2 linked regions of the Stegostoma tigrinum genome follow. The protein of the gene in region 1 interacts with the protein of each later gene in a biochemical or structural test. Links are inferred from orthologs where the notes say so. Each region holds a gene or a part of one and is shown on either strand. Other genes may lie near its edges. The genes, in order: txnipa; solute carrier family 2, facilitated glucose transporter member 1-like.

Evidence for each region.
Region 2: the proteins of txnipa (region 1) and solute carrier family 2, facilitated glucose transporter member 1-like form a complex in vitro, tested with the Homo sapiens proteins (2 studies listed by BioGRID). The link is inferred for Stegostoma tigrinum from reciprocal best matches to the Homo sapiens genes TXNIP and SLC2A1.

The regions. Positions count from the first base shown.
Region 1 is NC_081400.1:7,695,619-7,711,115, forward strand, and holds txnipa (thioredoxin interacting protein a), read right to left. Parts: upstream 6,855-15,497; 5' UTR 6,759-6,854; coding exon 6,503-6,758; intron 5,701-6,502; coding exon 5,628-5,700; intron 5,516-5,627; coding exon 5,368-5,515; intron 4,927-5,367; coding exon 4,824-4,926; intron 4,723-4,823; coding exon 4,469-4,722; intron 4,174-4,468; coding exon 3,999-4,173; intron 3,878-3,998; coding exon 3,732-3,877; intron 3,634-3,731; coding exon 3,595-3,633; 3' UTR 2,370-3,594; downstream 1-2,369. UniProt on the Homo sapiens protein: May act as an oxidative stress mediator by inhibiting thioredoxin activity or by limiting its bioavailability.
Region 2 is NC_081381.1:10,220,309-10,235,299, reverse strand, and holds the start of solute carrier family 2, facilitated glucose transporter member 1-like, read left to right. Parts: upstream 1-6,977; 5' UTR 6,978-7,224; coding exon 7,225-7,239; intron 7,240-14,991. UniProt on the Homo sapiens protein: Facilitative glucose transporter, which is responsible for constitutive or basal glucose uptake. Has a very broad substrate specificity; can transport a wide range of aldoses including both pentoses and hexoses.

The sequences.
Region 1 (15,497 bases):
GGTCTCTGGATTGACAGTCTAGGCCATCGCTTCCCCCACTTCTTCTACTTCATGGAGTACGCAGCTATGATGTGATCATTGTTGATCCTAGAACTTAAAAATGCAAATTACAAAAACCATCAGTCCATGTTGTCTGCAGTTCTCTCCTGGCATCAGAGGCAGTTCAGGGAAGGTTGGATTTCAGGGTTTAGGGAATCTGTGGAATTCTGCAGCACAGACTGCCATTGGAGAAGTCAGCTAATGCTCTGGGGATCCAGGTTTAAAGAATCTGGAATTAAGCAGCTAATGATGACCATGAAACCATTGTTGACGGCAGAAAAAGACATTGGGTTCACTAATCTCATTTAGGGAAGGAATCTGTCATCCCCACCCAACCTGACCTGTTTGTGACTCCAGACTCTCAGTGGCATGTTTGATTTGACTCTTAACTGCCCTCTGGGCAATTAGGGATGGGACAAAAATTGGGACAGAACTTCCTCAGTCCTAATGAAAGGTCACCGGACCTGAAACATTAACTCTGTTTTCCCCACACAGAGGCTGTCAGACATGCTGAGCTTTTCCAGCAACTTTGTTTTTGTTCTTGATTTACAGCATCCACTGTTCTTTTCGTTTTTAATCAATGTCATGGGTCCAGTCCTGAGGAAGGGTCACTGGACTTGAAATGTTGACTCTGCTATCTCTCCACAGATACTGCCAGACCAGCTGAGTTTCTCCAACGATTCCTTTCTTCCAGATCCCAATCACATTCAATCATCTCACAAACAGATAATTTATTTCAGGAGATGGAACTGCTTTTCCAGAGCAAGCAGGTTATAATTAACATTGGAATACTACCTTCACTTGAGGGGAATTCTTTAGACTCATGCTGGGAAAGAGCACCAGGATATTGGCAAGTTCAGCAAAACATCCGTCACCTGCTCGGACCAAGCAACTGTGTGGGATGGCCCACATTGGCAGGTGAACTGCAAGAGTGTGAGTGGGATAGAGCACATAGCAACTTAATGGACAAAGGGCTCAGCATGCAAAATTCCCCAAAGAGCATTTCTGCAGATACATGAACCATTGGAGGTTTGAAGTGCAAGGACCACCAGACCCAGAGTGACACAATGGATACTGATTATAATCAACAGCTACATATTGCAGAGTGTGGTGGAGGAAGATTTGATTGAAGCTTTCAGCAGAAGGTTGGAGAATTATCTGAAGTGGGTGGGCAGGGAGTTGGGACACTATTTTACAGAGTTGAGGAGAAACTTCTTCACCCAGAGAGTGGTGGATACATGGAATGCCCTACCCCAGAAGGCAGTGGAGGCCAAGTCTCTGGATAGTTTCAAGGAAGAGATAGATAGAGCTCTTAAAGATAGTGGAATCAAGGGTTATGGGGATAAGGCAGGAACAGGATACTGATTGTGGATGATCAGCCATGATCATAAGGAACGGTGGTGCTGGCTCAAAGGGCCGAATGGCCTACTCCTGCACCTGTTGTCTATTGACTATTGGAGTTGCTGTGCTAGACGGGTAGTTGTGCTAGATGGGCAGTGTTGTGTGTGTGTGTGTGTGTGTGTGTGTGTGTGTGTGGGGAGGGGGGGGGGGGGGGGCGGGGGTCAGTGGACTGGGAAGGAGAGAACATATGGGCCAGATGGCCTCCTTTCATGTAAGGATGTCTTTTGATGATCTGGCACGTGAAAGATGGGGAGATTTTGTTCACATTTTTAGGATTCTGAAAGGAATCAATTAAGTCAGATGAATGGTTGGATGGCAGTGAATCTTGTGGGACTGCCCTTTGTTCTCATTTTACAGGACCTCAGTCAGGACATGCAGGATAGGAGTGGCAGACCCCTGTCCCTGAAAGATATTAAGCAAATCAACAAAGCAGCAATTTTGCATGGTTATTATTCAATGCCAGCTGACACAAATGGTCGAGGAGTATCAAAACATTCACATTTCCCACACCTCCTACCCTGTCTTACCCCACCCCAAGCAGCTCAAAGTAGGATTGAGCCCATGCACACTAAGCACTCAGACCATCAAATGATACCTTTTCCCAATTGCGTCTTGTGTCAGCTCCTGCCTTGTTTGGAGGCATGTCTGGAGCTAAGAGTAGAATGAATGAACTGGGTCTTCAAAGATGAAAGCTGATGTTGGTGGATTCCAGCATAAATGGGTTAGTGTAAAATTTTACACCAGCGGAACTGGAAACAAGCACGAGAGACATGCAATCTCCCACTGATGCAAAGTAGTATGAGGTTTCCAGGAGTATTGGCAGGAGGCCGAGTCTCTAACATTAAGCATCCTGCTGGCTTGGCCATTAGCTACCAGTGGGAAACACTAAACCTTACTACACATTCCAGAAATGTCCAACAATTGTCGTATGTTGTAAAATACTTAAAAACTTTATTCAAAATTGATCACACTTACAAAATAAAATACTTAGCTTAGAAAAATACACAAAATAACATTTGGCAGATTCCACATAGTAGAATTTTAGAAAATCAAAAATATTTGAATAAAATCCTTGTCAAAACAACACTTTAGACTGAGATATATTTCCCCAATGAGCTCAGATAGTCAGAAGACTTATGGGAAGACTTGGGAAAAAAGAAACACAGGATTCACATCCTCAGTACAAAGTTACACAAAACTGGAAATGTTATACAAACAGCAGAGTGGAGTGTTTTGAAATGTTTCTTGCTTGTTAAAAAAACAAAAAAACAGCAAATTGTACAACATGAAGCTTGCTGTTTTAGAATGTCAGCAATTATTGACCTTCAAACAGAAAGCTACCAAAGAAATAAACCTCTGCCTAAAAACAGGTACCAAGTAATGCCCTTTTTGATTAGCAGAATGCTGCCGATGATGGTACAAGGCAATGTGAAGAAACAAATCAGAATAATAAGTGCCAGGACAATACTGCAGTGAAAATGCAAAGTTTGGCAGCATTTCTTCCAACAGAGAATTGTTCAGGATATCTGGAATGACCAAATTCTGTTTCTTAGACTAGCATCTTCCTTCAAGCCAGACGATGGCAGAAACAGGGACTGACTGATGGAGGAAGGGTATACACTCAGTGCTTGCCCCATGTTCAACCAGCTAAGGTATGGTTTACTAGTTACCTCAGATGGCCATAATCATCTGCCACCTTGCGCACAAGTCCATAGCCTGGCACAAAGCAGTGAAATATCTGTGTTGCCCTATCAGTTAAGGAAAAAAGATATCAAACATTCTTCAGGAGAACAGAAAGAAATGGCAATCAACAATTTAAACAATATTATTTGTAAATCTGTAACTGCACAACATGTAGCTCCCCTCATTCACAAAACAAGCCAGGTTCCTTCAGCTCAGTACAGGTACAGAGTGTCCCCATGATTACTGAGTGGCATGACGTAACTCTAGGAATTTCGACCATCTCACGGTGGGAGTCAGCAACAGGTCGAGACCTTCATGCATGCACACACTACCTCTTCCTTGACCTTTTCTCGCTGGCGCAGCCCAGCTCCTGCAGGCCCTCCCCGTTAAGTGCATCTGAAAACGCATACGGTGATTTAAACTGGAGTCCAAGTCTGTGTTTATAAAAAGTCATTGCAGGACTCTGCAGTTTCACTCAACCATGCACTCGCAGTTCCCATTCTCATCCACCTGTGGGGAGAAAGGAAGGGAAAATTCATCATTAGGCCCATGTCAGATTCAGGTGATGGGAAAGTTTACCAATTCTCAACTGGCACTGTCTTACTCACATCCGAGCTGACCGGCGATGACCCGTAGCTAAACACTGCAGACTTCATGAAGATGGGACTCTCTGGCAGGCCATCACAATCATCCAACAAGGGAGTGGTGGGGCTTTCCAGACAGTGACTCGCAGAGCACACATGGAAAGGACTGGCTGCAAAGGAAACATTCCAGATCAGTCAGCCAGTACAGATAGGAAAACCAGCTCTGCAAGCTCACTGCCCCCACATAGCCAGGCCCAGATGCCGCCATGGAGTGTACCTGCAAGCCCTTACCTGCCATTTGCTCCGGGAACTCCATGTGGGGCCAGCTCATGCTGCTGCTGCTTACACTGCTGCAGTTGCTGGTATTGCTGAATGATCGGCTGTTCATGCCATTGTATGGGATGGTGCCAATGACCAGAGGGAGTTCAAGGACCAGCTTCTTGCTGCCTGGAATGTGGACATAAACCTGTGGGGAGGGAGAACATCAGTCATTCAAACAAAGCAACATCAAACAGGAGACTTCAAAAAGAACCCTCTTATTAATCCCAACAGTGTCAAAACTACCCTAGAGTGTTCCGGAAGGCGGAACAATGAATAAACCTAGAGATAGACACCCAACTGAAGTGCAGTCCCCACCCCTCATGATTGTGAGCACCTCGCCTTCTCTCCTCATTGAGGAATCACACCACATCATGGGTCAACTACAGGCAACACTAGAGGTGGCACACCCAGGAAGTTGCAACATCCTGCCCATCACTCACCAGTAGGGAGTACTCCAAGCAGATGATGTGAGAGCTGATTGATGGTTTCACGGTGGGGATCTGCAGGCACTTGTCACACCAGGATTCAGACATCCCCGAGATGATGTGGTTCCCCCGGACACTGTTGAGTTTCTCCTTGAAGACCTTGGTGTTGCCGCTCACCTGGTAGGTCTGCTTTGCCAAGATGGCTGCCTTGGGCATCACAATACGTGAGCAATTGTTCTGGAATTGGGCATTGATGCAGATCTGGTCACCTGGCAAAAAGGAAGGAAAGTGTTGTTGAGATTCATGGCATTGTCACAAACCAAGAAAAGCTGACAGTTCACGGAGCCAGAAAACAGACCAAGACCATTACCTTGGCAGTAACCCTTCCGGTCAATCTTGGCAGCAATGCACACGTAACCATCAGACAGGAAGAAACAAGTCACCTTCTTCTTATTGGACCCACCAACTGGGGACTGAAAGGAACACAGAAAATATAGTTTGACATTTGAGATAGATTTCAAGCCAACAGCAATGCAGCTACTATGACAGTAAGGGGTGGGCCACTCAGCTTGTCATGTCTGCTCTGCCATTCAATGAGATCATGGCTGATCTGATCATTAACTCCACTTTCATGCCTCTTCCCCTTTTTCCTGATTAAAAATCTGACTATCTCAGCCTTGAATATATTTAATAGCCTCAACTATCCTCTGTCAAAGAATTCCACAGATTCACTCTCCTCTGAAAGAAGAAAGTCCTCCCATCTGTCTTCAATGGGTGACTCTGGTATTACCTCATAACCTCTAATTATGTCAGTACTGACACTTACCCTAGTTCAACACTAGGATGATGCTAAGTAGAGTCATTTGATTCAGCACTAAGCCTCGCATTTACATTAACTGCTACCCATTACTCACTAGTAAGGTTGGCGTGTTGACATCAATGGGCTCGACCACATCAAAGTCCCTGCTGGTTTCCAGGGATGGCTGCTTCTCCCGATCAACATATGCTGTTACGAGGTAGCAGACACCACCATACTTGCCCTTGAACGAGGGGGGCAAGGGCCTGTCAAAAAAACAGCCACACAATTAGGAGTTGCAATGGCAGCATCATCCAAGCCAAAAATGTGCGACCATGGCACAACAGGGTCGAACAGGTAAGAATAAAGGTAGCTTACCCTTCTGGTATCTGGAAGCTGAAACTGTACTCGTACATTTTGCCAGGCTGCAGGAACATAGATCCATCAATGTCTGCACAAGATAAGAGGAAGTCATCAGTGTGTGAAGTCATGCAGACGGTCATCCAACCCAACCATGGGTGCACGCACTGCAGAATGCCCTGATCCCAAACAAGCGTACACCCAATTACATAACTTGTTGACCACCCCACCACCACTCTTAACAGTACATTAACCAACACCATCCTGCCTTTAAAAGGAGCAGATAAACACCATCGTCTCCACCACAATAGACAGACATCTACACAATTAGCAGGGCACTGATGCTTTAACTTCCTCTTAACGTGAAGAGGGTCAAGGTGGTCTGGGTTAACAGAACCCTAGATCTCCCCTATAACAGGCCAACAACAACACAGAAAAACCAGAAACTGACAACCCATTTATCCTTTGAAAGGAGCAAGGATCCCATGGCTCCTGTAACAAGAGACTGAACAAAATCCACCCCCCCCCCTTTCCTTCCTTCGAACGAAGAGGCTGCCCATCTCCAAATATTTCCCATTTAACAGGAGCCTGCTGACCCCCACCCCCCCCAAAAGGAGCTCCCCCTTTAAACAGGAGCCTGTTGAGCCCCCCTGCCCCAGTAGCAACTTGTCTTTTAAACAGGAGCCTGATTCCTCCCCCCCACCAAAAAATACGGGTCTGATGATGAAGACCACCCCCCAGCAGCAGTATTTAACTTTTAAACGGGACCCTGACCCAATCCCAAACCCCAGGGTCGCCCCCCATAAACAGGACCTGACCTCTGACCCCCACCAGCTCCCCTATAACCGGAAGTTGATCCTTGAGCCCACCGGAAGTCTCTCTCTCTCTCTCACCTGAGGTCCGGTTCTCTCCATCCGGAAGCAGCGTTTCCTGGAAGTGCAGGTAATCCTGCTGCTGGCGCAGGGGCTGCGAGCCCTTGAGGAGCTGGGCTCGGGCGTAGCCCAGGGCGACGATGCGCACGGCGGTGACCCTCAGCGGCTGGGCGGTCTGCAGCCGGACCCGCCCGGCCACCTTGTCGCCGGCCGTGTAGGTGCGCTCCGAGCTGAAGACCAGCTCAAAAGTGGGAAGGAGCTTCTTGTTGACCACCATGTTAGCGTCCAGCTTGGCTACTACCTCTTGCTGTATCACAGCGATAAATCCTTTCTTCCGCTGTCACTGTGTGAGTTCGATCTGTTCTGCGTACCCGCACCGCGCCTCTACTTATAGCTTTGACGGTGCTCGCCCGTTTCCCAACGGCCGTCCCCCCCCGTCGTTTCCACCAATCGCTGTCGGATCTGTCCCCAGTTCCGCCCCCCTCCCACTATCTGCACCAATAGTCGGTCGGTGTGTGACTGAGCGCGCCCCTCACCCGCCCCTGCCCCGCCCCCGCCCGCCCTCTCCCCGCCCCCCTTCCCCCGTCGCTCTCCTCCAACCGCCCCCGCGCGTGCCATTCCTCCTGCCTCCTCCTGCGCGCCGCGTGCTCGCCGCTGCCATTGGCCGATGCTGCTTGTTTACCCGGCCGGCAGCCAATCGGAGCGCCGGCGGCCCGCGTGCACAGGACCTGATCTCCGGCGCCCCGGCCCGTGGGTGGGGCCGGCAGGGCCTGGCGGCCAATCACTGTCCGCAGCCGCCAGCAACCGCCATCCCATTGGACAGAGGGATTGTTACACTCGGTTTCGGGTGAGCGATGGTAGGATGAGGTCAGCGTGTTGCAAAAAGTTTTGGATAATTTATTGCTTTCGTTAGACAATCGGCTTGCCATTTTTATACCTAAGATGTTATTCAAGTTATTTAGTTTGTCTCCTTTTATTTTAATTTTTTTGTAATTATCTCTCTACCTCATTTAATCGGATTATACATTATCCCTTGTTAGCTGTTAACACTTTACCCACACCATCTAACACTTTGGATTTATTATTCAACACTCCACTCACACTATTTGTATGATCTTTTGCCCTTGATCCCTCTGCTCATAAATTCTGTGTGCTCCTCTCTCACTTCACCTGATGAAGGAGGCTGCGCTGTGAAAACTTGTGATTTCAAATAACCCTACTGGACTATAACCTGGTGTCCTGTGACTTTTGACCGTGTCCACCCCGGTTCGAGAAGGGAACCTCCACATCACGGCAAAAACCCCGATACCTGGAGGGTGGGGCTTTGAAGGGGAGAGAGTGAGGAAACGGAGAGGGAAAATGGGGGCAGAGGGGAGTAAAGAGAGATAGGGAATGGCGGGGGGGCATGAGAGGGAGTGCGGGATGTGATGGGCAGAGAAGAGGATGGGGCAGAGAGAGGGTGGTGGGTGTGAGGGAGTTGGGGCAGAAGAGGGTGGGGTGTGTGAGAAATAGTTGGGGGCAATGGGGGAAGGTAATGAGGGAGTGGGGAGAGAGGGAGTTGGGGGGTCAGTGAGTGTGGAGGGGGAGAGAAGTCAGGTGACGGAGTATGGAGGGGGGAGAGGGTGTTTGGGGGGAAGAGAGAGAGTGCAGGGGGAGTGAGTGTAGGGGGAGGGAGAGAGGGAGTGCTGGGCAGAGAGGAATTGTGGTGGAGAAAGAATGGGAGTGTTGAGGGGAAGGGAGGGAGGGTGAGGAGACAGAATGAATGAGAGGGGAAGATCGGGATAAAGGGAATGGGGGAACAGAGGGAGGGAGAGAAAGTGAGGAGGTCGAGAGGCAGTGGAGGAAGAGATGGACTTGGGTGGAGAGTAGGAAGGGAATAGGAAGGGAGTAGGAAGGGCAGAGAGAAAGTGAGGAGGGAGAGGGAATGTTGGAGGTAGGATAAAGAGTGAGAACAGTGATGGTGGAATAGAAGGGGTGTGAGAAAGAATGAGGAGTAAGTGAGGGATAGAGAGAGTGAGGATGGAGAAAGGGAGTGAGGAGCATAGAGAAAGGGATAAAGAGAGGAAGGGAGAGAAAGTTTTAGAGAGGGGAGAGAAAAACTGGGAAGTGGGGATAGGATGGACAGAGAAGTAGGGTATAAAGTGAGTGTGGAGGATGGAGAGAGAGGAAAGGGAAAGATTGGGAGGAATATTGAGGAAGTGAGGGTGATAGGGAGAGAGGATAAAAGGGGAGAGTGTGAGGTGAGGGGAGGGGGGGAGAGGGAGAAGAGAAGGAGAGAAGAGAAAGTGAGAAGGAATAGAGAGTGAGAGAAGATGGGACAGACAAAGAGAAGGGGGAGAGAAAGTGAGGAGAGATAAAGAAGATAGAGGGGGAGAAAGGGAATGGGCAAAGTGAGGAGAGAGAAAAACGGGGAGAAAGGAGATGGTGGGGCAGATAGGGAGGGGGAGAAAAGGAAGGGGAGAGAGAGAGAATGAGTGGGGAGACATATAGAGGAGAAAAGGAATGGGAGAAAGATGCTGGGGGGGGAAGAAAGTGAGGAAGGTAGAGAGGGAGAGAGTAAAAGCGAGGGGAGAAAGGAGGGGGAATAAAGAGAGAGGTGATAGGCAGGGGAGGAGACAGTGGTGGTAGAGGGTGGGGAGACAAGAGGGAAGAGCGGGTGGGCGCAGTAAGCAACAGAATTTTGGGAAAGGAGGTAGAAAGGGATGGGGAGAAAAGGACAGGGAAGAAAGAGAAGTATGGTGAGAAATGGAAGTGGGACAGCGGGGAGAGAATGAGGTGGGGAGAGGCTGGAGAGGTGTACAGGGACATTAGGGGAGGGAGGAGACTGGGGGAGAGGGATGCAGGGTAAAGAGATGGGGTGGTTGTTTAATTTGGAGAGTGTGAGGGGGCAGATAAGGTGAGGGGAGTGAAGAGAGTCAGAAGGGGAGGCTGGATCAGATAGGAGGAACTGGAGGGAGGGGATGGAGTCCTCAATCTAGCTTGACCCGTTCCTTCAAACGTTCAAATTGTTTTGTCCTGAAACTCTGTGATTTTTATTTTTAATCAAAAACCTTCCAGTTCCTTGGTCTTTGCTCTCTGTTGCCTGCATCAGACTGGTGAAATAACGAGAAAGTGTTGGGCGGTGGTGGATGCAGAAAAGATGTTTCCTCTTGTGGGAGAATCTAGAACTAGAGGCCAGAGTTGAAAAAAAACGTTGCTCTGTTGGAACAGAGATAATGATACATTTTATTTCCATGGAGCGTTGTGAGTCTTTGGAATTCCCTCCATCAAAAGAGACTAGATGTAGAATTTATAAATATTTTTAAGGCAGAGGTATATAGATTCTTGATGACCAAGGGGATGAAAGATTATCGGGGATATGCAAGAATCTAGATTCAGGTTAAAATCAGATTAACCATGATCTTATTGAATGGCAGAGCAGACTTAAAGTGGCCTACTCTAGGTCCTTTTCTGATGTAAAAATATTTTTCATTGCCAGCCATGCAGGGTTTTGTTCAGATCCTTGCCAAATCAAAATTGAGGTTGATCCCAAGAGATACGATCACCCTTGACCAACAGTTTGTTCAGCTGTGCTTGTCAGTGGTTGAAGACTGAGCATCTCCAACCTGGGGACAAAATCTCAGCCATTATGCAGAAATGTGTCCAATTCTGGATCCTGTGCTTTTGGAAGACTGTTAATGCCTCAGACTGAGTGGAAGGAGATTTACCAGAATAGGACCATGGAGGAAGGTGTTAACAGAATGTTAGAAAGCTCACAGCACATATTGAGGACTTTCAGACTATTAAGCCTGCGACACGGACAGACTGGAGAATTTGAGTGGATGATTGACGTTAGGTCAGAGAATGTTAAAGAGCAATTTAACTGAGGCATTCGAAATTGTGAAGTGAGTTCATTTGAATTGATTAGAAGAAACTTTTTCGTCTGCTATGAAGGGCGCAGATCAATGAGGATTTGTAGGTCCTGAGAGACAGGAACAGTTAGACACAAAGTATTTTTGTGATCTGGGCTACGCTGCCTAAAAGGGTGATGAAAGCAGATTCAAGAGGAACTTTCAAAAGAGGGGCAAATCAGTGAAACTCCTAAGTGGGCATGGCCTGTGGGGGAAGGAGCAAGGTTTTGGGGTGTTGGGACTGATGAGAGAGGTCCATACCAACACAAAGAACCAAATGAGCACTTCCTGCACTGCACTGTCTCAGGGATCATGTCCCAACTTCTGCCTCACTGCTGCTCTTGCCCCACAGCCTTGCCCCTGCAAGTATTTATGCAAGCATTGCAGTCTCAGAAGCCAGAATTGTCAGGATAAACATGATAATGAGTCACTCAGCACCATTCCGAGCAGTGATTGTCTTGTTTATGCCAAGTCGGAGTCTGGAGGAATGGCCTATTTATCTCACTGTACGTAACGTGTTCAAAACTGTGCTATCAACTTTCTCAGTGTCGGGTAATTCACAAAATCTACAACTGTACGACAACCTCACTTTCTCATGAACTTGTTCAAAGTCTAATTGCATTCTGGACTTCCCTTTGCCTTCAGGTTAATTACTTTCTTAATTAATTATCGGCAGCAGCTTTGTAAACAATAAACAATAATTACTGTCAACTATATGTGTATTTCTTAAACAGTCCCAATGTGACCAGATGAAACTGAAACTTTCAAATCCCTTGACACGGTTTTATGATTAATCCACAAGCAATGATTGACATTATATACCTCTGATAATCAATAGTCTATTTAGAACTTATCAAATTTCCAGTCCAAACAGTCTGTACTCAGCAGAGGATACAGTCTTAAACATACTCTATTACTCAGTTTCAATCACACTCCTTGTTACTGGATTAGGGTCTCTAGAGACACTCAACTGTTACTGCGATACAGTCTCGAACACACTCAAATCTACTGGGATACAACAATGGGACACTCAATTACCTCAAAAATATATTTTACATACACACAGTCACTAAAGCAGATCAGTTCTGCATAGTGCTTATGAAGAAACAAACACTGGAGTTTGACGTTATCTAACAAACAAACCCAAGGCATTCTTTACCTGGACAGTACCATATTTAAATTCATTTGAGGCACAGGGTGGGTCTGATAACAGATTAGATCCACCCCCTTGCCATTTAACTTCAAAAAGACCTTAGATGGTGGTCTTTCCTCAGTGTGCCTTGGTAGTAGCGCCCCCAGATTTTAGTGCATTCCTCAGCATGCAATCCTGGACTTTGGAACGTGCCAATCTGCAACACACAGTTGAGGTCAACTCCTTGATCTGGAAGACCAACAAGTTTTGGGCACACCAAAGTGTGCCTGTTGATGGTCTTCCAGGAGCAGTCGATGTTTGTCTCGGTGTGTGCCCTGGGGAACAGACCGAACAACAGAGTCCTAGTGTCACGAAGCTGCCCAGGATAAACCTCAACAAAACCACTGCATCTCACTTCAGACTTCCTTTGCAAAGGCACATTCCAGAAGGAGACTTGTGATAGTCCCCCCACGCCCCACAGCCACTTCGAGGGTAGTGTTTGGTGGCACAGAGAGTCTGTGTCCACAAAAAGGATCTCACACAGGTAGTACCCTTCACACCTGCAGCTAAGTGATGTCTTGGTGCTTGTTGGAAAGCTCTGGCCGTTATGACATTCGATTACTGCTGTACAGCCTCCATTAAACTCATTGTTACTGGGTCACTGTCCATGGGACAATTATTATTACTGGGGTACAGGGTTCCAAATACACTTTGTTACTGAGATTCTATGTGGGACTCTCATTATAAGTAGAAAATAATCTGTAACACACTCATCGTCACTAGGATACAGTCTCTTGGACACACACTGTCACTGAGATACAGTACCTTCGGCACTCACTGTTTGCTGGGAAACAGTGTTTGGGATTCTCCCTGTTTCTGGGATACAGTGTCTGAGACAGTATCTGTTACTAGGACACAGAGTCCATACACTTGTAGTTACTGGGATAAACTCTGAGATCTTCACTATTAGTGGAATATAGTCTCTAACACACTAATTGTCACCATGATACAGACTGTTGGACACTCATTGTCACTGGGATTGAATTTTTTTGGCACTCAATGTTACTGGGATACAGTCTGTTGGTCACTCACTGTTGTAGAGTCATAGAGTCATACTACACGGGAACGGGCCTTTTGTCCAACAAGTCCATGCCGAACTAAACTAGTCCCACCTGCCCGTGCTTGGCCCATATCCACCCAAACATTTCTTATTTATGTACCTATATAAATGTCCTTTAAATGTTTTAACTGTGTCAGTGTCCCCCATATCACTTCCTCTGGAAGTTCATTCCGCGCACGAACCGCGCTCTGTGTAAATAAAAATACTCCTCATGTCTTTTCTAAATCTTTCTCCTCTCACCTTAAAAATATGAACCTTTGTCTTGAAATCCCCCACCCTAGGGAACAGACATCTGCCATTCACCTTATCTATACCCCCTCCTGATTTCATTAATCTTTATAAGGTCATCTCTCAAGCTCCTACGCTCCAGTGAAAAAAGCCCCAGCCTATTCACCTCTCCGTATAACTCAAACCCAATATGCCCAGTGTCATGCTGGCAAATCTCTTCTGAACCCTTTTCAGCTTAATAATATCTTTCCTAAAGCAGGACACAGTACTCCAGAAGAGGCCTCACCAACGTCCTGGACAACCTCAACACTACATCCCAACGCTTGTATTCAAAGGCCTGAGCAATGAAGGCTAGCATGCTAAACACCTTCTATAACCACTGTTAATGGGATACAGCCTTGTGTGCACTCATTATTACTAGGGTACAGTCTCCAGACTCACGGTTTCTGGAAACCATTTGCTGGGATGCTGTATGACTGGAATAGATTCTGGGTCACTCACTGTTACAAGGTACAGCCTTGAAGTGAAAGTTTGTCAGTCAGCATCAATTTGAGCATTAATTGATTTGTTTATGCTAAGTACAAGCATCAAGGTGTGGCCTGCCTATCTCATTGTACAGAACAAGTTGAAGCTGTATTGTGAGCTGACTCAGTCTTGGACCATTTATGAGGCTCCAGTTCAGAGATAACTTTACATTCACAAAAATCTGCACAATGTTTGAAGATATTCTTGGCTCCATTGCGCCTTCAGATTAAAGACTTTTTAAAAGAGCAGTGGCACATTTGTTAAGAATGGTCTATTGCTACTTTTCATCATTTATATAAATGATTTCATTGTGAACATAGGTATGGTTATTAAGTTTGCAGATGACACCAAAATTGGTGGTGTAGTGGATAGTGAAGAAGGTTACGACAGAGTACAGTCGGACCTTAATTGGTCCGAGAAGTGGCAGATAGAGTTTAACTTAGATAAATGTGAGGTGCTGCATTTTGGAAAGGCAAATCAGGGCAGGACTTGTACACTTAATGCTAAGGTCCTGGGGAGTGTTGCTAAACAAAGAGACCTTGGAGCACAGGTTCATAATTCCTTGAAATTGGAGTCACAGGGAAATAGGATAGTGAAGAAGACGTTTGGTCTGCTTGCCTTTATTGGTCAGTGCATTGAGTAAATGAGTTTGGAGGTCGTGTACAGCTGTGCAGAACATTGGTTAGAACATTCTGGAATACTGCATTTAATTCTGGTCTCCCTGTTAGAGGAAGGACGTTGTGAAATTTGAAAGAGTTGGAAGAAGACTTGCAACGATGTTGTCAGGATTGGAGGGTTTGAGTTATAAGGAGAGTCTGAATAGGCTGGGACTATTTTCTCTGGACTGTTGGAGAGTGAGGTGTGACCTTATAGAGGTTTATAAAATCATGAGTTGGATGGATAAGGTGAGTAGCCAAGGTCTTTTCCCCAGGCTGGTGGTGTCCAAAACTAGAGGGCATAGGTTTAAGGTGAGAGGAGGAGAGATTTAAAAGGAACCTAAGACACTGTCTCAGGGATCATGTCCCAACTTCTGTCTCACTGCTGCTCTTGCCCCACAGCCTTGCAAGCCTTGCCCCTGCAAGTATTTATGCAAGCATTGCAGTCTCAGAAGCCAGAATTGTCAGGATAAACATGATAATGAGTCACTCAGCACCATTCTGAGCAGTGATTGCCTTGTTTATGCCCAGTCGGAGTCTCGAGGACTGGCCTATTTGTCTCACTGTACGTAACGTGTTCAAAATTGTGCTATCAACTCTCAGTGTCAGATAATTCACAAAATCTACAACTGTACGACAACCTCACTTTCTCATGAACTTGTTCAAAGTCCGATTGCATTCTGGACTTCCCTTTGCCTTCAGGTTAATTGCTTGCTCAGTTAATTATTGGCAGGATCTTTGTAAGCAATAATCTATTACTGTCAGCCCTGCCATACAAATGTATACTTCTTAAACATACCCAATGTGACCATTTGAAATTGAAACTTTCAAATAATTTGATATGAGTTTATGATTGATCCGCAGGAAATGATTAACAGTGTTACCTCTGATAATCAATAACCTATAAAGAACTTCTTAAATTTCCAGTCAATACAAGTCTGTGCTCAGCAGAGCATATAGTCTTGAACACATACTCTGTTACTTGGATACATTCTCAATCACACTCCTTGTTACTCTGGACACTCAACTGATAGTTGAATAGTTCGAATGCACTCATTATTACTGGGATACAACTATGGGACACTCAATGACTTCAAAAATATACATTATTCATCAAAATATCTATAACCGTTGATAATCACTGCAGTACTGCTGGTCCATATTGTAGCATATGAATAGACAGAGTTTGACTCTGACTAATGAACAAGCCCAAGGCAATCCTGATATGTTCAAGACCATATTTAAATGCATTTGAGGCACAGGGAATGTCTGATAATTGAATAGAGCCCCCTTTAACTTCAATAGAAAGACCATAAATAGTGGTCATTTCCACATTGTGCCTTGGTGGCGTCACGTCATCGTGGACTTTGGAATGTGCTAATTTGCAACACACAGTTGAGGTCATCTCCTTGCTCTGGAAGACCAACAAGTTTCGGGCAGAGCAAAAAGTGCCTTTCACTGAGTT
Region 2 (14,991 bases), on another chromosome or scaffold:
CCTGCGGTTGCAGGAGAAGGTGCCGGGTGTGGTGGGGTTGGAGGGGAGTGTGGAGCGAACAAGGGAGTCACGGAGAGAGTGGTCTCTCCGCAAGGCAGACAAGGGTGGCGATGGAAAAATGTCTTGGGTGGTGGGGTTGGATTGTAGATGGCGGAAGTGTCGGAGGATGATGCGTTGTATCCAGAGGTTGGTGGGGTGTATGTGAGAACGAGGGGGATCCTCTTGGGGAGGTTGTGGCGGGATGTGTTGTGGGAAATGTGGGAGACGCGGTCAAGGGTGTTCTCGACCACTGTGGGGGGAAAGTTGTGGTCCTTGAAGAACGTGGACATCTGGGATGTGCGGGAGTGGAATGTCTCATCCTGGGAGCAGATGCGGTGGAGGCGGAGGAATTGGGAATAGGGGGTGGAATTTTTGTAGGAAGGTGGGTGGGGGGAGGTGTATTCTAGGTAGCTGTTGGAGTCGGTGGGCTTGAAATGGACATCAGTTTCTAGCTGGTTACCTGAGATGGAGACTGAGAGGTCCAGGAAGGTAAGGGATGTGTTGGGGTTGGCCCAGGTGAACTTGAGGTTGGGGTGGAAGGTGTTGGTGAAGTGGATGAACTGTTCGAGCTCCGCTGGGGAGCAAGAGACGGCGCCAATACAGTCATCAATGTAACGGAGGAAGAGGTGGGGTTTGGGGCCTGTGTAGGTGAGGAAGAGGGACTGTTCCACGCAACCTACAAAGAGGCAGGCATAGCTTGGGCCCATGCGGGAGCCCATGGCCACCCCTTTTGTCTGTAGGAAGTGCGAGGAATTGAAAGAGGAGTTGTTGAAGGTGAGGACGAGTTCGGCTAGGCGATGAGGGTGTCAGTGGAGGGGGACTGGTCGGGCCTGCGGGACAGGAAGAAGCGGAGTGCCTTGAGGCCATCTGCATGAGAAATACAGGTATATAGGAACTGGGCGTCCATGTTGAATATGAGGAGTTGGGGGCCAGGGAATTGGAAGTTCTGGAGGAGGTGGAGGGCGTGGGTGGTGTCACGGACGTAGGTAGGGAGTTCCTGGGCCAGGGGGAAGAAAATGGAGTCCAGATAGGTGGAGATGAGTTCGGTGGGGCAGGAACAGGCTGAGACAATGGGTCAACCAGGGCAGGCAGGTTTGTGGATTTTGGGAAGGAGATAGAAACTGATCACCATCTGCATTAATACCTCTGATATCCTTGACGTTCAATTGTGCAAAACATGATTGAGATTTGCTCAAATTGTTTTAAATCTCTCTGTAATCTCATTTTTCCCTATTTCCATAATCACATCCCACCCCCCAATCCTCCAAGGTCTCCTTACTCTTCCAATTCTTACCAGATGGTCATCTCTCCCTGATGACTATTGTATCCTCAGCTCCTACTCTGTAAATTCTGAAATACTCCCCAAGCCTCTCCATCCTTTATTCACTCACTCCTTCTTTAAGAAGCTTTTTAAACCTACTTGTTTGACCCTGTCCTAATCATAAGACCATAAGACATAGGAGTGGAAGTAAGGCCATTCGGCCCATCGAGTTGACTCTGCCATTTAATCACAGCGGATGGGCATTTCAACTCCACTTCCCTACACTCTCCCCATAGCCCTTGATTCCTTGCGAGATCAAGAATTTATCGATCTCTGCCTTGAAGACATTTAACTTCCTGGCCTCCACTGTGCTCCGTGGCAATGAATTCTACAAGCCCACCACTCTCTGGCTGAAGAAATGGCTCCTCATTTCTGTTTTAAATTCACCCCCTCTAATTCTAAGGCTGTGCCCACGGGTCCTAGTCTCCCCGCCTAACAGAAACAACTTCCCAGCATCCACCCTTTCTAAGCCATACATTATCTTGTAAGTTTCTATTAGATCTCCCCTCAACCTTCTAAACTCTGATGAATACAATCCCAGGATCCTTAGCCGTTCATCATATGTTAAACCTACCATTCCAGGGATCATCCGTGTGAATCTCCGCTGGACATGCTCCAGGGCCAGTATGTCCTTCCTGAGGTGTGGGGCCCAAAATTGGACACAGTATTCTAAATGGGGCCTAACTAGAGCTTTATAAAGCCTCAGAAAAACATCGCTGCTTTTATATTCCAACCCTCTTGAGATAAATGACAACATTACATTCGCTTTCTTAATCACAGACTCAACCTGCAAGTTAACTTTTGGAGAATCCTGGACCAACACTCCCAGATCCCTTTGTACTTCTGTTTTATGAATTTCCTCACCGTTTAGAAAATAGTCCATGCCTGTATTCTTTTTTTCAAAGTGCAAAACCTCACATTTACTCACGTTGAATTTCATCAGCCATTTCCGGGACCACTCTCCTAAACTGTCTAAATCTTTCTGCAGCCTCCCCACCTCCTCAGTATTACCTGCCTGTCCACCTAACTTCCTATCATCGGCAAGCTTCGCCAGAATGCCCCCAGTCCCTTCATCCAAATCATTAATATATAAGGTGAACAGCTGCGGCCCCAACACGGAGCCCTGTGGGACACCACTCGCCACCGGTTGCCATTCCGAAAAAGAGCCTTTTATCCCAACTCTCCGCCTTCTGTCAGACAGCCAATCCTTAACCCAAGCCAATAGCTCACCTCGAACACCATGGGCCCTCACCTTGCTCAGCAGCCTCCTGTGAGGCACCTTATCAAAGGCCTTTTGGAAGTCTAGATAGGTAACATCCACTGGGTTTCCTTGGTCTAACATACTTGTTACCTCTTCAAAGAATTCTAACAGGTTTGTCAGGCATGACCTCCCCTTACTAAATCCATGCTGAGTTGTTCTAATCTGACCCTGCACTTCCAGGAATTTAGAAATCTCATCCTTAACAATGGATTCTAGAATTTTACCAACAAGCGAGGTTAGGCTAATCGGCCTATACTTTTCCATCTTTTGCCTTGATCCTTTCTTAAACAAGAGGGTTATAACAGCAATTTTCCAATCATCTGGGTCTTTCCCAGACTCCAGTGATTTTTGAAAGATCACAACAAAGTCTCTGCTATTTCCTCAGCCACCTTCCTCAGAACTCTAGGATGTAGCCCATCGGGACCAGGAGATTTATCAATTTTTAGACCTTTTAGCTTTTCTAGCACTTTCTCTTTTGTAATGCCTACCATACTCAACTCTGCCCCCTGACTCTCCCTAATTGTTGGCATACTACTCATGACTTCCACTGTGAAGACCGACGCAAAGTACTTATTAAGTCCTTCAGCTACTTCCTTATCTCCCATCACTAGCCTTCCAGCATCAATTTGGAGCGGACCGATATCTACTTTTGCCTCTCGTTTGTTTCTTAGGTATTGAAAGAAACTTTTACTATCATTTCTAATATTACTAGCTAGCCTACCTTCATATTTGATCCTGGATGTGAGTTTGCTCGCTGAGCTGGAAGGTTAGTTTTCAGACGTTTTGTCACCATTCTAGGTAACATCACCAGTGAGCCTCTGGTGAAGCGCTGGTGTTATGTCCCGCTTTCTATTTATCTGTTTAGGTTTCCTTGGGTTGGTGATGTCATTTCTGACCTTCCAGCTCAGCAAGCAAACTCACATCCAGAACCTCAACCTGAGCTACAAATCTTCTCAAAACTTGACATTTGATCCTCTCCTTCCTTATTGCTCTCTTTGTTATCCTCTGTTTGTTTTTGTAGCCTTCCCAATCTTCTGATTTCCCAGGGCTCTTGGCCACTTTATAGGCTGTCTCTTTTTCTTTGATACATTTCCTGACTTCCTTTGACAGGCATGGCTGTCTAATCCCACCCCGGAAAATCTTTCTTTTCTTTGAGATGAATTTCTGTACTGTGTTCTCAATTACATGTATAAACTCCTGCCATTGTTACTCTACTGTCTTCCCTGCTAGGCTCTGCTTCCAGTCGATTTTCATCAGTTCCTCTCTCATACCCCTGTAATTACCTTTATTTAACTGTAACACCATTACATTCGATTTTGCCTTCTCTCTTTCAAACTGCAGACTGAACTCTACCATATTATGATCGCTGCCTCCTAAGTGTTCCCTTAGTTTAAGATCTTTTATAAAGTCTGGCTCATTACATAGCATTAAGTCCAGAATAGGCTGCTCCCTTGTGGGCTCCATCACAAGCTCTTCCGAAAAAGCCATCCTGCAAACATTCCATGAATTCCCTTTCTTTGGATCCACCAGCAACATTATTCACCATTCCCACCTGCATATTGAAGTCCCCCATAATCACCGTGACCTTGCCTTTCTGACATGCCCTATCTATTTCCCAGTGCATCTTGCGTCCCTGGTCCTGGTTGCTGTAAGGAGGTCTGTACATAACTCCCATTATGTTTTTTTTTGCCTTTGTGGTTCCTCAACTCCACCCACACAGACTCCACATCCTCTGACCCTATGTCATTCAGTACCGTATGAGCTACGAGCATTTAGATAAAGTGCCTTAATGCTAATTTTAACACGAATTTTCTCTCAAAAATGTGATGATGTTAATGGGGTCATCCAGAGCAAGAATAATTAACCAGGGGATAGTCAATGTCAATTGCATAAGAATGGATCTGGCTCAGAATAATTGGAATCAAAGATTAGCAGCAAAACAATAATTGAATGCTGCGTTGCCTTTATTGAAGAGGTATATTCCTGCAAAGAGGAAAGCTAGGACAAACAAGTTAAGAGCTCCCTGTATGATAAAATTGGTTGAAATTAATACAAAGCAGACAAAGTGTGTCATATGTCAGATGTTGATTAGAGAATATCATTGTGATCCAGGCTAAATTCAGAGGTTTCAAAGTAGAACTGAACACACAAACAACAGAAGTAAAGAGAAATTAAGAAAAAAGACTGGCAGCTAAAATGAAAGGGATCCGAATTCTTCTGTTAACTTATAAGTAAGAAAAGAGAGGAACTAATGAGCAATCAAAATAAGGTTTACACATGGACACAGGCAGCATAACTGAGGTATTAACAGGATATTTTACATCTGTCTTCACCTCAGAAGACGATTTTGCCCAGACCATGAGGTTCAGACACTTGAAAAGCTTAAAATTGATAAGGAGGGCATATTCAAATGGGTGAATACATTTGATGTAGATAAGACACCAGGAGTGATTGTGATGTATCACAGATATGGAGCCAAACTGCTCACCATATTCCAAATGCGATCTGACCAGAGCCTCATACAGCCTCAGCAGTACATCCCTGCTCCTGTATTCTAGCCTTTCTGAAATGCATTTGCCTTCCTAACAGCCAGGTCAACCTGCATGTTAACCTTAAGAGAATCCTGAACTAGGTCCACTAAATCCCTTTGTGCTTCAGATTTCCAAAGTCTTTATCCACTTAGAAAATAGTTAATGCCTTTACTCTTCGTTCCAAGGTGCATAACCTCATGCTATCCCAGATTGTATTCCATTTGTTACTTCTTTGCTCACTCTCCTAACCTGTCCAAATCCTTCTGCAGCCTCCCCACTTCCTCAACACCACCTTTCCCTCCATCCATCTTTGTGCAACACACCCTCAGTTCCTTTGTCCAAATTGTGAACGTAAAATGTGTGGTCCCAACACTAACCCCTGTGAAACTGCACTAATCACTGGCTGCCATCCTGAATATATATACACAAGGGAGAATGTCCTTTAATTGGTTCAAGAGATAGCTCAACAATTTGGTGGCATTCTGGTCATATCATTTCTATACTATTAGTTCACCGTCTACAATTACACCATGGATCATGTGCCCGAAATGTCATGGCTCTGTAAAAGTAAATTGTACCTGATGCCATTTTCTCTAACATTCCCCTGCTCTTCACTCCAAAATATTCTGGCTCCTACATACTCCTAGCTTTCCAACTCTCCATCTCCATCATTTCATCCCGTTTCCTATTAAGGATGGTAATTTATGAAAAAATGGCAATGTTCTAGTGCATCTTAGCAGTGAAAGGACTTGCCCCATGTCACCACTTTTACTCTCACAGCCTTGGCAACTGATTGAAATCTGATTACCAGATCATTCATGTCTTCAAATTCAGCAAAGTCTAAGTAAACAATGCGATCACACGCATCTATGCAACTTTCGGGGCAAATGATCACTTGGGTAAATATGAATTCATTAGGGAAAGTCAACATGCAGTTGGGAAGGGAAAATCATGTTTAGAAAACTGACTGGAGCTTTCTGATGGGTTATCAGAGAGAATTGATGAGGACGATCCTGTGGAATTGGTGTACATGTCTTTCAGGTGCTATTTGACAAGAGCGAGCGAAACAACTTGATTCAGGACGAGCATCTCACACCGTGATAGGGGCAGGATCATTGAATATTTTGGGAGTCAGGTAGATCCTTCACGAACAGGGTGAAGGTGGTTGGGAGGGGGTGGGAAATTGGGGGTCGAGTATGGAGTAATCAGATCCTCCATGATCACATTGGATCGTGGAATAGCCTCGATGGACCAAATAGCCCACTCCGGCTGCTAATTGAAATGTTGAAATAGTCTTTGGTGCACAATTCATGGAGTACCTGAAGTTAAAACAGATAAGTAAACTGCAGCGAAGTTATGAGAAAGTTTTGGTGTCTGGTTTACACTCGGGATGTTTGCAGGCTGCCCAGTTCGGATCAGAGTCTAACCTGGGAAAAAGAGGGACGCAGAGCCTGTGCTCTCCCTCCAATTCAGGGGAGCCAGTTCCTGGGTCAAGGTCCTGCCGTCCATAAATATATTGTACAATGACTTTCAACAGCTAACACTCACTTCGAAAAGTTCATGTGAGTTTAGAAATGGAAACGGCTCCTGCCAATGGAGACTGAGCGTGACTGTAACAGGATCTGCCGTGGGCTGGAACCTGCATCACTCTGGGAGGTGGGACAGCTGCTCGGTTATTTGGGGGGGGGGGTGGGGTGGTAGGATGCTGTCATGGCTACTGGAGACTATTCCGTGCAATCCTCAGCAAATGGTAAAGTGGCAAGCCCATCACACACCCCTCAGACGTCACCCATTGATATCCAATCCCATTCAAAGCACACACACAAAGAGCAGTTCGTTGCTTGGAGCAGGATATTACATGAGCGTTCGAGGAGAGACAGAGACACATACATACAAGGAGGTTCCAACACAGGGAGATGACTTTGTACCTTATCACAGATATCTGAAGAGGATTTGCTGTGAGGACTTACTGCGGGGTTCAATCATAGAAGACTTTGAATAGCGTGATCAAAGGACATCACCCAAGACCAAACTACAGCCGTCAACGGATCCTTCATCTGTGTGACAACAGCATGGCCACAGACAAGGTATGGTTTATGGAACGCACTGTGTCTTATTGGGGTCCCCCCCCCCCCACAACAACACGGCTTTAAAAAGCGGTGACCACATTCTCCGGACAAGCCTTTAACCGGTTTGGAGTCCTTCAGAATGGAAGATTTTGCAATTCGAAAGAAGCTGGAATTTAATGCATTTTCCTTTTAAGGCAGTTGGTTGGTGTGTTGTAGTTTGTAATGAGGCCGGAGAACGGGGTAGTTAGGTAGCAGAATGATGGAGGTCAGCCACAGAGAGTGCTGGAGGAGCTCAGCAGGTCGGTGGAGAGAGAAGCAGACTTCAACATATCGAGTCTGATGTGACTTCCCGAAAGCAGCAACAACTGAAAGAAACGCTGTGATTGCTGGGGCAGTGCTAATTATGTTTTACACTCTCTCACTCTCTCTCACACTCTCTCTCTCTTTCTCTCACACACACACGCTGGGGGAGGGAAGGATGGAACAGAAAAGGCCGTGTGACCAAAACAATGGGTACAGCGCGTGGTTTTAACCGTGCAGAACCAGACACGTTATTTTTACAGAATTCACAGCATGAGGAAATGCTTTAACGCTGTCATTGAAATGTTTGTCTCTCCGATTTAAAAACAGAAGCCTGGATGTTTAAGGCTTTTCTGGGAGGTAATGCCCGGGACAGTGAGGCAGTTTCAGATGTAAAACCAGTTCATCATTAATCTCCACCCTCAGCTACAGATACACCTTTAAGAGTTGGGCAGTGTTTTAAAATGGGTTCGTGTCACACTAACTGGAAAAGGGCAATAAGTGTTAAATATCTGAGTGAATTTCCGCCAGATTTGACATAATTAAAGTTTACCAAGAGCGGAGCTGTAAAACCAAATGTTAGTGCACATCCCCAGCAATCGTTGAGTTCAAAATGTCTCCTTTGTGTTTAAATACAGCTCGGCCAGATCCAAAATGGTTCGTGTAGCTAAACCAGCAGTCTGCTTTCAAAGCTTATCAATTATTTTACATTGTAAATTCCGCCACGGGACGTGTTGTAGGGGGTGGAAATGTTGCAGTTTCGACCCCCTTCCCCCGATAGCTCAGGAGCTAGTCTCAGACGCCCTCCCCCCTCCGACTCCCGATTGTTTAGGAGGTCTCAGACCCCCCCCCCCCCCCCCCGACTTAGCTCAGTAGTTCTCAGGTGAAGCTGCTGCAACAGGAATGTGTACATGACCCAGTGAACGTACAGCTCAGCCTGGGGATAGCAGGCTGCTAGTTTATGATGTACTTTTATGGTGGGTTTCAACAATCTGCAACTGCACTGTCCTCTCTGGGATAGTTAACACTTCATATGCACCCTATTCTCAAACCCGTTGGCCATTTATTACATTCTAACACCAGACTCTGTGTGTACGTGCCTGTTTGCATCAAGCAAATATCCCAAATTAAATCACCAAATTTCGAATAATCACGCCTTAACTTCCGCATCTAAAACGATTTAATCGTTTCCAGCATTAACTGAATTTCCCATCTTTGGGGTTTGGGGGTTGCTATTGGCGGTGGTATCTCCGTCATGTGGAGGGAACGAAAAAGCTTAAGTGCTTTCACCGATCTGCTGTTGTAGCAACAGAGAATATCATAAATTCTTAATCAGCAAAATTCACAAACAACTGGACCAACAAAAAACCCTCATCTTCATTCAACTGAAATAACTTGGCAAGACACCAGAAAGGTGTTAAAGCAACAAAAAAGTTTTGGGATGTATGTCTTGATGAAAATCAGCATTTGAAAGTTATACCAATTAAAAATTATTTGGATTCCACATTTCCTCTAGAAGATGGGGTCAGCTGTATCTTCTTGTATGATCAATCTATGATAAGTGCTGTGTTAGCAGGGACCCATTCAAAAACTTTGCGCAGAGTTGCTCAGTAATATTCACAATGAATGTTTAACATGGCTCATTAGTTTTTTTGCATTCGTTAAATGCAACGTTTTGTTGCATCTTTTTAAAGGGATAGAAACATAGACAATAGGAGCACGAGTAGGCCGTTCGGCCCTTAGCGTCTGCTCCACCATTCGGTGTGATCATCCAACTCCGTCCCCTGTTCCTCTTTCTCCCGTATCCTTTGAACCCTGTAGCATTAACAATCCTAGGAATTATCTTGGTCGCCCCTAAATGCACCTGGTTAAACAATCAAAACTGTTCAATGCTGTTGAGCTGTTAATAATTTTATTCCCAAAATGTAGCCAACAATGTTATTTAATGTAAGGAATGCAGCTAACCTACACACACACACGTGCACACATTAGAGTTTTAAATCAGGAACTGCAAAAAGATTTGAGGAGAGTTAAAGTGCCAGCAAGGATAAGCGAGAACAGAGTAGTGAAATAAGTGCCCCGCCAGTTTTCAGGGTGGCATTTGTAAGCTGATAATGAGAGATAGAGACTTTATACAATATAACAAAGTGTGAAGCTGGATGAACACAGCAGGCCAAGCAGCATCTCAGGAGCACAAAAGCTGACGTTTCGGACCTAGACCCTTCATCAGAGACTTTATACAGACTTCCCCATATACACACTACTGTTTCTGATACTTGTTGCATGCCCTGATTTTATGAAATGCAATCTTCACACAATTGCATGGAACTAGAAGATGGTGACTGTGTGTGTGTTTTTCCAGGCTGTACATACATTAGAAGTGATGGGTGTGGAGTGTGAGACAACAGGCATTTGAGCTGTAGGTTGATCCTTGCTAGTCTGCTCTTGTTCACACTCTGTGATTCATTGGATAGCACTCTCACCTTGGAGGTAGAAGATTGCAAGTTCATGTTCTATGACAGAGACTTGAAACTATTTTCCAGTCTGAACCTGTAGTGCAGCACTGGGGGAGTGTTACAGTGGCAGAAATGCCATCTTTCAGATGACGTGTTTAAACTAAGGACCTCTCTGAACTGAAGATGGTGTAAAAGATTGCTGGACAATGTGTTTCAAGGAAAATCAGTGGACCCCCCACCCATGGCTGAGCCAATGTTTACCTTTAAAACAACATCAGATGATCTGCTCATTGTATTGCTGCTATCTGGGATCAAACTGTGCACAATTTGGCTTGTGTGTTTCCTATATAGCAATAGTATAGTAATTTGGCTGGGAAGCAGCCTGGGTCATCCTAAATTAGTGAAATGTGTTAAATATATCCAAATATTTTCTTCTACTGCGTCACAAAAGTGTTTGGATCATCAGAAAAATGATCACATGGGAGACATGTCATACCAAGCTACTACCCTGGGAAGTCTCTAAAAAAGACCCAGTGATTTCCACAATTAGAACTATGAAGCAGTTTGCTGTTTATGTAACATGTCTTGTGATTTTTAAAGTGCTACAGACCTGAGTGACACTGAGCAATATCAGACTGCCTGCTGCAGGAAAATCACTTGACTCGCTCACATGCAGGACACTGCCAAGGTTAAAAGGATAAGATAAATCAGGAGCCTGAGATTAAGTGATGTTTGAGAACTTTATTTGGAACTGTTACTTCATGCAGTATTAAATAAGTCTACTGGGTATAGTGATGCAGCAATAAAGCACTGCGCAAGAGAGATCTTTAATTGCCAGAGGGTTTCCAGTAGGAAATTCCTAGTTTTAGTAATGAAGTTGCTCAGTCTTATTAACATGCAAATGATGTTGGAGTAACTGTGGAATTCAGTGTATTTGGTGAATGGTGCAAGTGTGTACTGGCAATATAAGAAGAGAGTTCCCACAGGGGTGGCAGTTTTATGTCAGTAATAGGGATTGTGAGACAGTAGGTAAATCAGTGTCCACACGAACTCCTCCTGGACCCTGGGCATGTCTTACCCACCTTGTTAGTTTCACCGATGCCTCCAGATTTGCTGTTGCCTGGTGTCAGAGACAGGCAAGTATCCTCACTGGGGCTGAAGTTAAAATTAGGATCTAATGTTGCACCCAACTTTGATCGAAATTATATGAATTTTGCACCCATCAGCTTTGGTTTGTTTAAAAACACTGGTTAAAATTAGAGACAGCAAAGCCCCTGGTTGAGTGCCCCAGGTTATTATGTGTCCATGAGCCCAGGTTCTGCCAGAAAGGTCAAGTTTAAAAAAACTTACCTCTTCCCTCTCAACTTCTCAGAAGTTGTTTTGATTTTTTTTCACAAGTCCTCATTCCTTCTTCCGGAGCTTGGAATTTATTTTGCTGAATGTATTCTCCATAGTTGGGTATAGAAGCCCCTAAAACTCAGTAGAAAGTGAGTCTCTCCAGTGACGGGCTCCAACTCTCAATTCGCAGAATTTAAGCTCCATGCCGTGTATCTGGGATTCTGACTGTTTCAGAAAACCTATGGAAATAGAAAGAACAATAAGGCATTATTTACGTTATGAAAACAGTCCAGGAGAGGCAGTAGACAAATATAGACTCCTGAAATTTTTTGTCTGCTGCTGGCCTATTTATTTTTCTTCCCACTCCTGCCCATAATTAAGGCAACAGTCACGCAATTTCGTTGGTGAAAGTGAGGAAACCTGGCTTTACAATTCAAGGTTAACTGAAAACATGAAAAGAGCTCACATTGTGTGCTTGTGATATGTGGGTGATGCTGATTGCATTAATTTCCTGTCTGTAGCTGCTGACATTGAGAAGGTGATGGTGAGCTGCCTTCTTCAATGGGGTGTAGAGGTGCACACATGGTGCTGTTAGGGGGGGAGCCCCTTCTGAGATTTCATTCATGGCCCTGACTGGTTGTGCCCTTGAGATAATCAGCACTGGCTGCCCGTAACCACAGGCTTTACATGTACAATAACTCTAATTACCCTTTTGATATAACAAAACCTTCCGAGATATCTCAGGAGAGTGTTATAAGCTAAATATACTACATAAGTATATATTTGATCTGATGACCAAAGCTTGATGAAGGAATTAGATTTGGAGGAATAGCTGAGTTGTCGGATGTTGTAGTTGTGGGATTCCAAAGTTTCTGTTGTCAGCAACTGGAGGCAAGAGTAGACCTATCCATTAGTATGGGAATCTTACAGAAATGTAGATTTGGAAAATTAAAGCACAGCATTTTTGCTGCACAATGTAAGACTATGTCTAGGAAACGATAAACTTGTGGTATTATCACTGGACTGTTCACCCAGAGAATGTGTTAATTTTTCCATAGAATCCCTCCAGTGTGGAAATGGGCCATTTGGCCCAACAAGTCCACACCAACTCTTTGAAGAGACTTTCTCCTTTTCCACCCCCCCCCCCCCCCGCCCCGACCCCAATCTTATCCCATCCCTGCAATTCCCCACCACTAATCCACCTAACCTACACATCCTTGGACACCTTAGCCAAACCGCCTACCCTGTACATCTTTTAGACTGTGGGGGTTTGCCAGAGCACCCAGCAGAAATGGGGAGAATGTGCAGACTCCAAACAGACAGTCACCCGAGGCTGGAATTGAACCTGGGTCCCTGGCACTGTGATGCAGCAGTGCTGATCACTGAGCTATCATGCCACCCCATGCTATGTTCTGGAGACCCAGGGTTCAGATTGTGCAAATGGTGGAATTTGAATTCAATGAAAATCTGGAATTAAGAATCTACTGATGACCTGTAAAACAACGTCAATTGCTGGAAAAACCCCATCTGGTTCACGAATGCCCTTTAGGGAAGGAAACTGCCATCTTTACTTGGTCTGGCCTGCATGTGACTCCAGACCCACAGCAATGTGGTTGACTCCTAACTGCCCTCTGTGCAATTAGGAATGGGTAATAAATAGTGGCCTAACCAGTGATACCCTCATTCTGTGAATGAATATAAAGAAATTTCCAGCACTTGGCTGGTAGCCCTGAATGCTGTGAGGTTTCAACTGCTCATCAAAATACTTTGCAAATTGGCTTGGATATTTTGACCAAGGAAAAAATGTTCGTCCGCAATGTCAACATTCTTTTGGTCAACTGTAGTTCAAGGCATTCTGAATCCTTTTGAATTATGACTTTAAACTGAAGAGAGACCTCTTTGAACCACATGTCCTCAATGACCTTAGGTTTAAACAGGGAAACCTGAATCTCTTATGTTTCTCGCTCTTGCTCTCGATCAAGATGTTGGTCACCTAGTACCTCCTGATAGGAGTAGTGTTCAATTCCAGGTTGGGCTATCAAACTAAAATTATAAAAAATCTTTGGATCTATTTTTAAACTGCTAACACTCGGCCTCCTACCCGTTCCAGCACAGCTAAGAGATTCTTCCCCCACAATGTCAGTAACCTACATTTTGTATAGTGCCTTTCGATTAGGTGTTCCACAGGAATGGTTTCAGTCAACATTTGTCACTGAGCCACATGAAGAGATATAAGGACCAGTGACTAATTGCCCAGTCAGAGGCAAGGAGCATTTGAAAAAGGAGAGAGGTATATGCTTTGTGTTGGAATTCCAGAATTTGAGGCCAAGCCATTGCTCCCTAAATACTAGGTGGAGCTCTTTCCCCTTGAGTCACCTTTTGTTTTCCACAATGTTGTCAGTAGGTAGGTTTTCTCTTCTTTCCGTGAGCAAAGCCTAAGTCCCAAACCTGAAATCCTATCTCTCTCTTTCAAGACTGAAATTTATGCCTCCCACTCCACACACCTTAAAAGGGCTAACTTCATACCCACCGCAACAAATGGGACCTGCCTCTATTCTTGTCCCTCCTCATTCAGTGTTTCTACTTGTCACCAACCAGGAGTATCACATTGACTGACTGGCTCCTGTGTGTTGGCAAGATCAGAGCCACTGTTCACTATGTCATTTAAAAAAATGCTTTTTATCTGCATTGGAGCCTCAGCTGCATGGTGGTTGCTAGGAATTGAAATCTTAGCTTTTATATTTTTGTATTTTTTTGTTTATCAAATGGGATGTACTTTATTGGACTCCTTACTGCAGTTTTTGAGTTTGTTATGGATGGGGAAATAGAGGGTACTCAGTGATGTGTAGCTAGGGTGTGGGGTCACGGTGATAGTGAGATTGTTGGACACATTTGGACATTAGTTGTGAGAATTTTGAAGTATTTTTGTGAAGTTATATTCTCAAAACCTGGTTCTGTAGCACACAGATTTTTATTTTTTTCAATGTTTAAGGCCAGCATTTGTTGTCTATCCTTGGGCAGAATGGCTCACTAGGCCTTTTCAGATGGGTCAGGAGCCACATGTAGATCACAGCAGGTAGGGGTGACTGATTTGAACCAGATGGGTTTGTTTTTTGTTTTAATGACTGTATATGGTAGTTTACACTCTCACCGTTCTTGAGTAGTTTTTAAAATTCCAAAATTAATGAACTGAAATCAAATTTCACTCATTTAAACACACATTCTCTGTGTGTTAGAGATAGTAGGAACTGCAGATGCTGGAGAATCTGAGATAACAAGGTGTAGAATGAACACAGCAGGCCCAGCAGCATCAGAGGAGCAGGAAAGCTGACGTTTCGGGCCTACACCCATCAGCATGTGTTCATGCCTGCTGTGTTCATCCAGCTCCACACCTTATCTGGGATAGTGTGTGCCCCTCAGACACTAGTTTTTCCTTCTCTCAAAGTCTAGCCTAAAAAAAGCCTCCTGTTTGCCAGGTTTTCCTACCCTTTGTTGTAACCGTCTTCCCCTCTTCTATACCCATCTTTTTTGTCTCTGTATCTCTCTCATTTTTACTTCTTTTTGTGCAGCAGCATCATCACCTTGTTATTTATTCACTACTTAGAACATAGAACAGTACAGCACAGAACAGGCCCTTCAGCCCACAATGTTGTGCCGACCATTGATCCTCATGTCT